2 linked regions of the Cricetulus griseus genome follow. The protein of the gene in region 2 purifies or fractionates together with the protein of the main gene of each other region. This does not show direct contact. Links are inferred from orthologs where the notes say so. Each region holds a gene or a part of one and is shown on either strand. Other genes may lie near its edges.

Region 1 (6,574 bases), on a different chromosome or scaffold from region 2:
TTTAACTGCTTCAAAGAGCTTTATAAGAATTCATTTTATCCTTCAAATCTGATTTCAAATGCTGCCTACTTGATGACGCCCTCTCAACCTGGATACTCCTCCCCCAGTGCTCCTGGTGTGTCAGAGTCGATGCATATCTTATTCAGGTCACTGCCTTTTATCTTATTCTGTAGGAAATATTTCTTCTATTGCCTCTCCAGAAATCCCGAGGAACAGGAAGATACAAAAAAAAAAAAAATTCTTTTTCTTTTCTTTTTATTTGAGAAGTCTTGCAATTACACCAGGCTGGTCTTGAACTCCTTGTCTTCCTGTCTCAGCCTCCCAAATACAGGGATTGCAGATGTGTGCCACCACTCAGTCATGATTTTAAAATTATATTAATGGTTAGCATTAATGTGATTAAGGATGCACTGGGACAAGCACTTATGACCAACATTATTTCATCAAGCATTTTAGGAGAAAGCTACTTTTATTATCCCTGATTTATGGTAAACTAATTTGATTTAAGGTCAAATTTGATCTAAGGTCAACTGGAAAGTGGCAGAACATTTTCTGCAAATTTTTGGCTTTAGGATCTCAGCTCTTAATCAGCATAGATGGACAAATAGATGGATGAAAAATACTTTTCATTCTGTGGCTCAAGAAGTAATCTTGAAGAGTCCACTATTTTAAAAAGATAATTATGATTTAAAATCATGATAGCTCCTAACTGTTGTCTCTTCTTAAGACAAGACCTCACTTTGTAGCCTTGGAGCTTGTTCTGTAGATCAGGATGGCTTCAAACTCAGAGATTCCCCTGCCTCTGCCTCCCCAGTGCTGGGATTAAAGTCGTGAGCTATCATGCCTTATGTCATTAACATCCCATATCCGCCCCCTCCCCCACACCAGACAGAGTTTCTCTGTGTAGCCCTAGCTGTCCTGGAACTCACTCTTTAGACCAGGCTGGCCTTGAATTTACAGAGATCCAGCTGCCTCTGCCTTCCCAGTGCTGGGATTTTAGCAGCCACTACCACCAGGTGTGTCATTAACTTTTAAATAGTCTTTCCCCCTTCTCTCCCTTCCTCCCTCCCTCCCTTTCTCCCTCCCTCCCTCCTTCCTTCCTATAATCATTTTAAAGCTCTCAAGGAAATTTTTTTGAATTCTTACACTGAAGAGTAAGCCAGCCCAGAATGATTGTTTGGGGGATGGAATTAACATCATATGTGGTTCTTCTTCCCATTCATTTGTAAGTTTTCAAATATCAAGTGCCTACTGTGTGCTAGGAACCTTTTAAGGCAATGGACAGCTAGAAAGAAAGTACCAATTATCATGATTCTTACTCTTAGAGTTCATTTGCTCCTCAAAATAACCATATAAAGTAATGATGGCAATATAAAAGTGTATGGCTTTACCGCACTCATCTGCGCCAGGCACTGAATTAGAACTCTGGTTGCATTAATGCATCATATCGCCAATATGAGGCTTGTTTCTCTCATTTTACAGATCAGGAAACTGAGTCTCAAAGAGGCTCCAGCTTCAAATCCTGTACAGCATGACTTTATCCCCAGTTTACTAGCCACAAGGCTATATTGTTTCACTTTTACCTCGTTATTATAACTCTTATAAAGGGCGGCTGAGGCTGATCTCCATCCAGCTCTGATTCTCAAGTCCAAGAGTTTTGAGCTGTACCCTGGAGGCCTTATGGAATAAATGAGAATGCATTGGAATTTTTTGTTGTTGTTGTTGTTGCCAACTTTCTCTTCCAAAGAATTCGAACTGATTTCCAAGTAATTCTCGTTGGTTTTGAAGTGAACCTTCCTGTACTGCACATTCTCCAGCCAGGAGAAAGCTAGGGCCAAGGCCCGGGTCATCTTAACCGGGGCATCCAGCAGATGGCGCCATCTTAGTAGCCACCAGCTGGCTGCCCGGTCCCCGGGGCTCCGAAAGCTTCTCTGCTCTCCCTCACTGCCTTCTCTCTCCCCCTCCCCACGGAGCCCGGGCCCACGTGACCTCACGGCGGCCAATGGGCGAGCAGAGAGGGCGAGCTGGTCCCTGTGGCCGCCATTAAAGCGAAGGGAAAACCCGTGAATTCGGATTAAAGGGGGAAAAACACCGCCCGCTGGGCCCACAAAATGGGGGAGACTACGGCGTACAGGCGGTGAGGCGGCAGGAGAGCAGACGTTAGGCAGGCTTGGCCCAGGGACAACACGAGGACGCAGCCGGAGAATGGACTGAGCCCTCAGACGCCGCCACCACCTCCGCCGCCGAGGAGACTCTGGGCTTAAGGACATCGCTCCTGCCGGGCCGGGGGCCCGGGCTGCTCCGCCGGTCCTCGCCCTTCCCGCCCCTCCGCGGGCGCCCCCGGGCCGGGGAGAACCCTCCCGGGCTTCAGGGCTCGGCCCGCTCGGACTCGGGCTCTTGACTATTTATCGTGTAACTGATAATTTTTTTTTGTTTTTTGTTTTTTTGCTTTTTAACCTTTTTTTTTTTTTTCCCGGTGGAAGGGGCACACATCCCTTCCCCTCCTCTCCGGAGAGGGACGCGCGTCCGCGAGCTCCGCAGTCCGGCGGCCGGCCGGCCGAGCGCGGCGCGGCGCGGCCCCGCCTGCGGCCTCGGCCCGGCGGCTGGGTGCCCGGGGCCGGGGGGCGGCGGGGAGGGCGGGCGGCCCGGCGGCCTCCTCCCCACCGCCCCCCGCCCTCCCCGGTGTCTGTGTTTCTCTCTCTGGTCGGAGGCGGCGGTAATGGCGGATGGTGGGTTGTGGCGCCGGCGGCGGCTGCTGTGAGGGACGATGAGTTCCTCCTTCGTGTCGAACGGGGCCAGCCTGGAAGATTGTCACTGTAACCTCTTCTGCCTGGTGAGTGCGGGGGCTGCGGGCGGTGGGGGAGGGGGCCGCGCCGGGCGCCCTTGGGCCGTGGGGGAGGGGGTACGGGTCTCATCCAGATGCCGGTGTCCCCCGGCTAGGCCCCGCCGGAGTCGGCCTCCTGCGAGGCTCTGCGGCCGCCCCGGGAGACAGCGTCCGCTCACCTACCTACCGGCCAGGACTCTGCTTGGAAGAGTCTTGTCTTTCCCCTTCTCCTGTCTTGTTTTGGACGCTTTTTTCCCTCCATCGTAGTCTTGTCCTTAACTTGGGTTTCTTATCTGGCCGGACAGTAATATTTTCTTGAGTGCTTCTTACTTACCACCCCACCCCCCCCACCCCGTATCGAACAGTGTATCTATCCCTTTTTCACACTTTTCCATGATTGTCCCTCCTTCACTCCCTTTATGCTTTTCCCTGCTAATTGGACTTCCCTTAAACAGGACCCCCCCAAAAAACTTACGTATTAAAGCCCCTCTCTTCGTTTTATAAGTTAAGCTAACACAGCGGTAGTTTCTTATGGGTGACTTCAGATCTTTGCGTACAAACGGCGTTCATATGTTTTCTTTTTAAACTTTGAAAACATTTTGCCATTTTGACAATTTCTAGCCATCTTGCTTTTATTAGAACATTATGTTTTTGTGAGAGTGGAGGGGCTAATGGAGGAGGTACTGTGGTTTCGCACTAAACGTTCTATGTTTGTCTGTTTTGCTTACGTTTAAAGAATGTTTTGCGCTGGCTGCTCCTTTTATTGAACTGAAAAGTCTGGGGACGCTGGATGTAGGAATGTTGTACTGTGTAGGTTGGCCCCAGTCGGGTAATAGCCAATAGTTTTTAAGACTTCTCTCAAAAGTACCAACTGTTGCAAATATCTAGTCCTTAATTAGGCGATAGCTGAGTTTCGTCAATGACTTTATGTTGGAGTGACTTTTTCATTTTTTTTTCCTGTGCGATGAGAAATATTAAGTCTATCATAGTTAAGTGAATTAAGTGGGTGGAGCATAACTAGTTGGCAAGCGTAAACTGCCAGTCATGTATCAGCAGTTTCATTTTTGGCACCTTATGCTTTCTGTCGCTAAGTTAGAATAAAGACTTGCTGAATTTCCTTTGTTGAATTTCCTTCGCAATGGTAAATGGGGATCTTTAACGAACTTCTACGTGGTGGAATATTTCTTGACAGTGTCCAGTAATCAGCATCTTCACATGTAGTAAGATGTACAGCATACAGCAGGTTTAACATTTCTGTCTTTCCCAACTGGATCTATTTTTGGCACTTTGGTTCTTTGAAGATAGATTAGCACAAATCTGACAGCTCTTTGGAAGTAGTTCTTTTCCTAAAGATGTGTGCTTGTGAAGAATTAACAGGCTTTTTTTTTTTTTCCGTTTAGAAAATTGTTCAGATGTCTTGTTAGAGCCTTGACTTCTTACAAACTTGAATGAGGGTCTTTAATTTTCAGTTCACCAAGGAACAAATGTGACTGACCAGTTAGAAAAGAATGTAGGGCAGAGGAAAGATAGACATACTGTGCAGTACTGGAATGCATGTTTAACATCATTGTCTCATTTATTAAATTCTGGATATGTTGTTGTATTTATTATAGATGTGCTATTCAGTGATATTGTTATTACTGTTTTTTAAAACTGTTGTGTGTTCTTTTCCTTAAGTTCTTGCTGGTTGAAGTATTAGAATTATTTGCATGATGTTTGTTATTTTGGTCATAGTCTTTAAATGTCTTAGGCATGCATTGAAAATAGTGATGTTTTAATGAAATCAGGTACTTTATAATGATTTTTTTTTTTTTTTTTTACTTAAGTGAATGTACAATAATATAGAAATCATGTTTTCTTTTCTTCAGGCCGACCTGACAGGAATTAAGTGGAAAAGATACGTATGGCAAGGCCCAACTTCTGCCCCTATTCTGTTTCCGGTGACAGAAGAAGACCCCATTTTGAGCAGTTTTAGTCGATGCCTTAAGGCAGATGTTCTTGGTGTTTGGCGTCGAGATCAAAGACCTGGAAGAAGAGAATTGTGGATATTTTGGTGGGGTAAAGATCCCAATTTTGCTGACCTTATTCACCATGACTTATCAGGTGAAAGCAATTTATTATTTTTTAAATCTGACTTAGCAACATTGTACATTTTCCCCAAAATGTTATTGGTATTACAAATTATGGTGTTAGTGTGTATACAGTTTACACAGCCTTATTAGTGTGAAGCAGTAAGAATGGTTTCAGTGTTTTATTTCACCATGATTGTTTTACTTTACGTAAAGTATCCATGTATATTATGGAAGATTTAAACTTTGAATAACTTTCTTCTTCCACCACCCAGCTTCCTTCCTTAATTTCTCACAGTCACTTTGTACCCAGGGAAGGCATTTTCATTGACCTAAGAAAAATGGAATCTGGAAGCATTCTCATAGTTATGTAATACTTTTGAAGCCAAGTGTAACTTACCTTTGAGTCTGTTCTGCTCTGATCTCTTTTGTGTGACACTGTGGGCGGTTCTAGAAATGTAACTTTATCTGGCATGTTTTTCAAAAGTATATTATTTTTATGATTATTTATTAACCCAGGGAAGCATATGCTATTTTTTTTTTCTTTTGGGGGGGCGGAAGCGGCTCTTAAATACTACTTCATCAAAGATTATATTGAGAGACAAGAGACAAGTACCACCTTATTTAACTTTTATAGGACAAAGGTCATTAATCTTCAAGGTTGCACAGAAATAGTTTATTATGAACTCGTCAATATTACTTACTCTCTTGACTTTGAGGGTCAGCTGTACTTTAGAAAGAAACTATAGCCCTTCATGAAATTACTCAAGTTATATTTACTTTAAACTCAGTGTAAGCAAATCTTTAAGTGATATACTTGGGGGAACCAAGTTCTAGTTTGGTAAGATTTTTGACAGATTGAATTTTTTTTTTAAAGCCCTTTAAAATTTTGTGTGCGAGGAGGGCGTGTGGGTGTGGTATATATGTGCCAGTGTTGTATGGAGGTCAGAGGACAGCTTTTTGGGAGTATCTTGAGACAGGGTTTTTCTGATGGTTTCTGCTGTTATGAAACTTATTTCAAGCTAGCTGGCCCTCTAGTTTCTGGCCAGTTCTGTGGTCTCTGCTTCCCATCTTACTGTAGGAGTGCAGGGGTTACACATGCTCTGCCACATCTGTTTTTTTATGTGGGTGCTGAAAATCGAACTCAGACTGGCTATGCTTTTACCCCCTGAACCATCTCTGCTGCTCTTTAGGCCATTTGAAAAAAGGCTTTCTTGTATGAAAGTTAGTACTCTGTGGTTTCTGGCTTTGAGCTGTAGGATCTGTTTTATTTTGCATGAAATATAATCCAGGTGTCAAGTAGCCCTAGCGCTGATCTTGAACTTACTATGTAGTCAAGACTGGCCTTGAACTCCCATTCCTTTGTTTCCTGCTGCTATTACAGGCATGTACCATCAGACCAGGCTCCAGATAGTTCTATTTTGAACTAATACTTTCTAAGGTCAACATATATGGTTTTTACTTTTTGGTTTTGGTTTTTCGAGACAGGGTTTCTCTGTATTGCTTTGGAGCCTGTCCTGGCACTAGCTCTGCAGACCATGCTGGCCTGGAACTCTCAGAGATCCGCCTGCCTCTATACTACTGGGACTAAAGGCGTGCACTACCACTGCCTGGCTTTTTTTTTTTAATTAGAAACTTTTTGTTTTTAATGGATGCTTTTTTAGTATTGAGTGGTGTGGTT
Region 2 (6,476 bases):
CACAGGTTTCTGGAAGCATTTTCAGTTGCAGAGCTCTGCAATTTGTACTCTTCCCATTCAAAGTTCACGAAATTAAACTCTGAGGTGCTCGGCTTCACAAACTTCTCTAACCCTACATTGCATTTCTTTAATTTCTGCTGTACGGAAGAGAGTTCAACAAAATAATTATGTTGTAGCCATGTCTGGCTATTGCTTATTGATCTGATTCCCTGTGAGTATAAGTTGAACTTGGCAGGTTTAATGGATCATGTTTGCAGACCATCAAACCCAGCATTAACTAGGGTGAGAGATATTTGACTCCTGGGATTTCAGGTGAAGTACAACAGGGCCCGGTGCAACTTGTGAGTCCGTTCTTACTTTTGTGGCATCCTCCTCCCCCCTTTATTCACATTTATTTTTTTTTGCACAAAAATGAAACCTTGATTTATCAATGTAGACACTTCATTTCACTGTTCGAAGTGGTGGAAGAAGTGGCAAAACCCTGGGCTCCCCAAATACGTGGATAGTGTATTTAGTCCCATCTCCCCAAGCAAGGTTGAAGACCTAAATCGCCTTTGATATCCATCATTGCTGCTTACAGAGCAGGGGTCGGGTGCAGGGGTCCAGCCACACAACTGTGGAATTTGTTTCCCTTTATCTTTGCTGCTGCTTTAATCTCATTCTCCCACCATTAAGAAGGGCAGGCTCAAGACAGATTTCTGAGGATTGTGGTCCTTTTTATCTTGAAAATTCTTTTACTTCGGCACCACAGTTTAAATTTCTGTAGTTTTCCCCAAAACTTAAACAGAATCTGTAGGACAAACAGCCCAATATGTTAATAACAGAGGAGGGGGATAGAGAGGGAAGAAAGGAGTGAAGAAGGGAGGGAGAGGGAGGGAAGAGTAAGATAAGGGTGGGGGGAGGGTGAGAGAGAGAAAGAGAGAGAAGAGAGAGGCAGGAGAGAGAAAGAGGAGCGCGCGGACGCGCGACCGCTTTTGAGTAAGTCCTAAGACGTCGGCCAAAATTTTTTGAAGATATTAAAGGAGCGCTGTAATGAACAAGATCAGTTCTTCAAAAAAGTCAAGAGACAAGCAAGAATGACTCTTAAAAGACAGGCTCGACTACATCCGCCCCTTGAAAACGTTTTTAAAAAACTCTATAATATCCCAGAGTTGGTTCTCTTTCAGCCCTCTGATCCCCAACCCCGGTAATTCACCTACTTTCCCACAAAAGCCTGAAGTTGCTGCTCCCAACGTCAAGCCTCATCCCTTTCCTTTCACAGCTCGAGGGTGGGGGTGGGGTGTATCACAACTCTCAGGTTTCTACGCCGCAAATTACAAAACGCTTGCACTTCCACCATCACTGCCGAGTTCTGGGACTGCGATGCGAGACGCATTCATTCATTCATTCATTGATTCATTGATCCACTCACTCACTCACTCACTCACTCACTCACTCAAGAAACCTTCGCACCGCACCACCACCACACATAATGCGGCTCAAGGTTTCACCCCCACGCCACGGGAAGGGTGGAGCGCTTGCTCCCTGGAGCAGGTGCAGCAACTGAGCTGTGGGTCAACTTCTCCACCCGTCTCGCTGTTCTAGAACCTGCTCCGGGCCAAATGCCTCACCTTCGGGTGGTGCGCGCCCTAGCCCGGCCCCGGGGCCTGGGCCGCCTCCTCGTTCCCAGAGGAGCAGTTCGCACCTGCCCCGGAGGGAACGGCCACGGAGCTCTCTCTCCGCGCCGCCCTCGGGTCAGGGGTAAGATCAGGCGGTAGCTTAGGCTCGCCTGGGCTCCTCCCCTTCCTCTCCAGTTCTGACGCGGCCGTAGAGGCGGTGGCGGCGGCGGTGGCGGCGGCGGTAGCAGCAGCAGTCCCGCGGCCCGAGGCGCACCCACCCGCTCGCAGATCTCGACTTCCTCTTCCCTTGATGCGTCATCAGAGCGCGCGGCAGTCTCCCAGGGCGGGGTGGCCGGAGAGGGGGAGTAAAGGCCCGCAAAGGAAGGCGCTGAGAGGGAAGAGAAGGGAGGGGGAGGAGAGCGGTTGCTAGGCGACTTGCGTCATCGCCGGGCGCCGCTCTCCTCCCGCCCCTCTCAGGAGTGAGGCGAGAGCCCCGCACAGAGCGAGGGAGACAGGGAGCTGAGCTCCGGGCGCTGCCGACGCCGCCGGTGAGAGCGTGAGAGCGAGTGAGTGAGCGAGCATCCGAGAGACCGGGCGCCCGTGCACTGACCGCCGCCGAGACCTTCGCCTCAGCCCGGGCCAGCGGGAGCCGCGGCCGCCGTCTGCTTCCCCCCCTTACCTTCCCGGCCGGCAGCGGCGGCTGCACACGCCGGAGCCGGAGCCCCAGCCGGAGCCGGAGCCCGCGGCCGGGGGGCAGGGAGGCGGCTGCTGCGGGTCGGGACTGGTAGCTGCTCAGCCGGGAGAGGACGCCCGCGAGGGGCTGGGCTTTCTGCCTCGCCCCGGGGCGTGGGGCGAAGGACCCCCCGAGGTGTAGGGAGGGGGTCCCGGCCGCCGCGACACATGCGGGAGCCGCGAGCGGGGGCGGCGCCGATCCGAGCCCGCCAGGCCACCAGCTTAGCCGCCGTCCGGTCCGGCCGCCCGGGGCCGTAGCATCCCTTCGCGGAGTGTATGAGCCGGGGCCCCCAGCCCAGGAGCCACCCCCGGGCCGGGGGGGCGGGGACCCCGATGTGAAGCGGCTGCGGCGGCGTGGTGAGCGGCCCGGGCGCCGCCGTCCTCTCCTTCCCCTCCCCTCCCCTCCCCTTCACCCCCTCTGGGGGGCTTCTTCTTGGGCTCGCCGCCGCCCCCCTCGGCTCCTCGGCGGGACTCCGGGAGTTCTCGGCGCCCCTCCCCGCCCCAGCCCCCAAGGGCAGCGGGGCCGGGGGGGACCCGGGGGGCCGGCCACAGCCTCCGCCCAGAGGAAACTTTACCCAAACAAAATCATCGAGCTTTACGATCGTGTCTGTCCCGGGACAAGTGGCCCAGGACGGGCAGAAGCCACAGTGTGCAGAGACCCAGGAAGAGGAAAAACGGTGAGCGGGTCGCCGCCGCCGCCTCTACCCCGGCAGCGCGGAAGAGACCCGGGTGGTTGCCTGGTGGAGCGACGCTAGCACCGCTTCTTCTGTTCCGCGCCGAGCCTTTCGCAGCTGCCGCCTCAGCCCGAAGGAGGAAGGGAGCCAGCCCATATTGTCAGCGCCACCGCTCGTCTCTGAAGCGTGAGTGGACTCGGGGGAGGGGGACGTTCTAGGGTAGCAATTGGGAGCCGGTGGGTGCTTGGTGCTGGAGTTTGGCTGTTGTTTCTCGGGAGGGTTGGGCATGGAGACCTTTCCTTCCTGCTGAGGGAAGAAGGCATCAGTTTGCAAGAGTAATGCAAGTAACAGGGGGCTTGACTTAGAGGAGCGGTGTCTCCAGAGTGGACGTTTGCACCTTTCTGCACACTGATCAGCAAAGGGAAATCGAGAAAGCCCAATGGACAGGTCTGTCCTGTACATTTTCCTGGCCACTGGTTGTGATCCAGCACAGAGTGGTTTTGTTTCAGGGAAACTCCCATGGATTCCCACGTGGGAATCACTTGAATCAACTCTTTAAAATTTTTTTCTCTTTCTTTCTTAGCTATTGTTTTTGAAGTTGTCCTTGAGAGAAGGACCAATTTTGGTTTAGTACACACAGGAGCTTGGTACCCCGGATACGGTATTTCCCAAGTCCAGAGATTCTGATGCATAAGGAGGATGTTTTTGTGTTTCAGTAGCTCAGGAGAGTTCAAGTTCCTAGGATGCACAACTCTTTGAGACTGAATTCAGGGAGAGCACTTAATGCATTACCGTTTCATAAACGTTGCAGCACTTTCTTTTTCCCTAATTCTCTTATCATTTTTGAGGGGAGAGTAATACATTTTATGTGATAGTATATTTTTCCTAGGATTGAAAGGGCATGCATGTGGCTTTTCTTACTTGACTTGTCAACTTAGAAACTTCTCACACTTTAAAGAAAGTATTTCAGGTATCTTAAGAGTGCTTTAAATTAGAGGTACAGGAAAGTAATGTTTCACATATATAAGGTTAAACATACTGTGGGATTTTATGTAACAAGGAACATAGGTAGTGTAAGACTGAGAATTCTGGTCCATTCAGACAATGGAAAGTGGGCAGAACAGAGATGCTCTGTAGAAATGAATGGAAACCTGGGCTTGTCTATCCATCTTAATTTCTCCATTTAGGATCATGATTAAATTTGTCTGATTGAAAGTTTCTCACATTTCACAATGTTTGGGCCCTGTTCTCCCCCTCTTTTTAAAGTAATTAGCCCAAAAGTTTATTAGTTTTTGCATTATGTAACAACTCTCTTATCTTCTAACTGCTTCCTCAAACTTCCAAGATACAGGTTGAGGAATGCTAAAGCAACCATGCGTTTATCTCCTCTTGCTTTTATAGATTTTGGTTATTCTCTTCTGTCATCTGTCCCAACTTTTTAATCTTGAGTACTTTTAGTTTTTTTCCATTTTGGATTTTCTAGCTCTTTTATTTTTCCTTAGATGCTTTGTTCTTTATATGTTTTCATAAAACACTGTAAGTTCTACTTAGTGTAAATGGGAATTAGCATGAAAATATTGGTGAATGAAACTTTAAGTTTAGAATAAAACATGTTTTTGGATCTGTTAACCTTATTTTGCAACCCTGAGTAAGTCATGTATTCCATTTTCCGAAAAAGGTGACTGAGAGACCTAGTTTTGCATAGTTTGCTTTTTGGGAAGAAGGGGGCTGTAAACCAAGAAATTATACCTTGAGTGTGTATTGCTTCGGTTCAAAGTTGCTTACAAACTTGAGGACCTGCTTTGCAAATTGGTTTTAAATCATGGAAGTACTTTATTGGCTGTAGAAATAACAACATTTAATACTTTCAGTCTTTGGGGTACCTTTTCTTATGAATGACAGAGGCAATTTCTTACTAATTCAGAGAACCAAAGGTGGAAGGAGAACACTGATTCCACAGAGTTGTCCTCTGACCTACATGCACATGAATGTAATAGTGGTAGTAGTAAAAATAAATAGGTTTTTTTAAAAAAAATGTAGGAAAGGAGGAAATGTATTATCTTTATTAGTCTAAGATCATGATATATACCAAGGACTGTCATTGCACCTTCCATTAGGGAAGTGTTGATTTTGGACTACCCAGGAATAATTGGAGTCTCTGAGCCAAATCTTGGAAGGGCTCCTTCAGGAAGAAAAGAGCATGTACAAACAAAATATTAAAGACTCAGAGTCAGAACATGTAAAGGAGAAGGAAGTTAGCTTGGTGGGAATACCTACCTACTGATGGAGGTTCTCGACTAGGGGTAAGATCAGTTTGCACTTGTGTATACACTCATGGTTACAGTTTATAAAAGAATTTGAAAACTGCTCCAGAGAGGGTAGTTTCAAGTGACTGGGAGAAATTATACTTTAGGACGAAGGCACTATTGCTGGCTTTAGGATTTTGTTTCTCTAGGAAACCAATCTTTTTACATTATGTGGGGGCTGCACAGAAGGAGGTGTGAAAAGGAAATGCTTTGAATGTTTTTTAGCTGGATGCTAGTAGTTTCTCATAATCAGGAATTCAGAAACAGTAGCAGACTTTGCTTTGGATGTTGATTTTTAGGTTAAGAGCTGGATGTCCATATATTTCATGTGTTGGCTCATTCTGTTTTTCTTTTCCTCCGCCTCTTAACTCTTTCTCTTTGATTTTTGAATCTGTCTCTTGTCCCAGGCTGACCTTGAACTTGCTGTGTAGCTGAGGATAACCTTTAACGTCCAATCATCCTGATCCTGCCTTGACTTCCTGAATGCTAAACTTACTGTTGTGTGTGCCACTATTTCTGGTTATGTAGGGCTGGGGATGAAACCTAGGGCTTTATGCATGCTATCAGGTGCTTTGTCAGCTGCGCTACTCCTTAGGGCCTGCCCCATATAGCTTTCAAGACTGCAAAGTAGTTTGGGTAATATGCTGACAGTGTGGGTAGTGATGGGAGTCATTCTTAAAGGCTTTAGGTTTCTGAGATTACTGATACTGAGTAAAGAGCTGAAAAAGGATTTTACAATTTTGGGAATGGACAGAGTTGTGTTAGCTTAAGCACAGGCATAATAAGAGAGACATTCCCCAAAGAGATACTTCATAAGTGAGTGAAAAGTGGCAGTTGAAACAAGGAACAGTCTTTAAACATAGCTGCCGACTCAGTCCAGAGCATATAATTCTGTTTTTAGCAACAGTTAGAGGTTTTCAGTAGAGCATTTAGATACTGAGACATATGTTCAGAACACACAGGACTTTGTTAGGGAACTTATAAATGAAATGGAAGATTAGTTTCTCCAAAACTCAGGTTTTTGATACTTCCTTAAGCTTGGTTTCCTCCCCCCTCCCCGAGACAGGTTTCTCTGTGTAGCCCTGGTTGTCCTGGATCTTGCTCTGTAGACCAGGCTGGCCTTGAACTCAGAGATTGGAGTACCTCTGCCTCCCCAGGGACTAAAG

What was found. Proteins that work in one complex are often made in the same cells at the same time.
Region 1: the proteins of Fbxw7 (region 2) and Med13 purify together in Homo sapiens (affinity purification with mass spectrometry; 5 studies listed by BioGRID and IntAct, with this or other methods). This does not show direct contact. The link is inferred for Cricetulus griseus from reciprocal best matches to the Homo sapiens genes FBXW7 and MED13.

What each region holds. Positions count from the first base shown.
Region 1 is NC_048600.1:99,605,478-99,612,051, reverse strand, and holds the start of Med13 (mediator of RNA polymerase II transcription subunit 13), read left to right. Parts: upstream 1-2,643; 5' UTR 2,644-2,767; coding exon 2,768-2,833; intron 2,834-4,692; coding exon 4,693-4,927; intron 4,928-6,574. UniProt on the Homo sapiens protein: Component of the Mediator complex, a coactivator involved in the regulated transcription of nearly all RNA polymerase II-dependent genes.
Region 2 is NW_023276806.1:69,599,265-69,605,740, reverse strand, and holds the start of Fbxw7 (F-box/WD repeat-containing protein 7), read left to right. Parts: upstream 1-2,052; 5' UTR 2,053-3,190; intron 3,191-6,476. UniProt on the Homo sapiens protein: Substrate recognition component of a SCF (SKP1-CUL1-F-box protein) E3 ubiquitin-protein ligase complex which mediates the ubiquitination and subsequent proteasomal degradation of target proteins.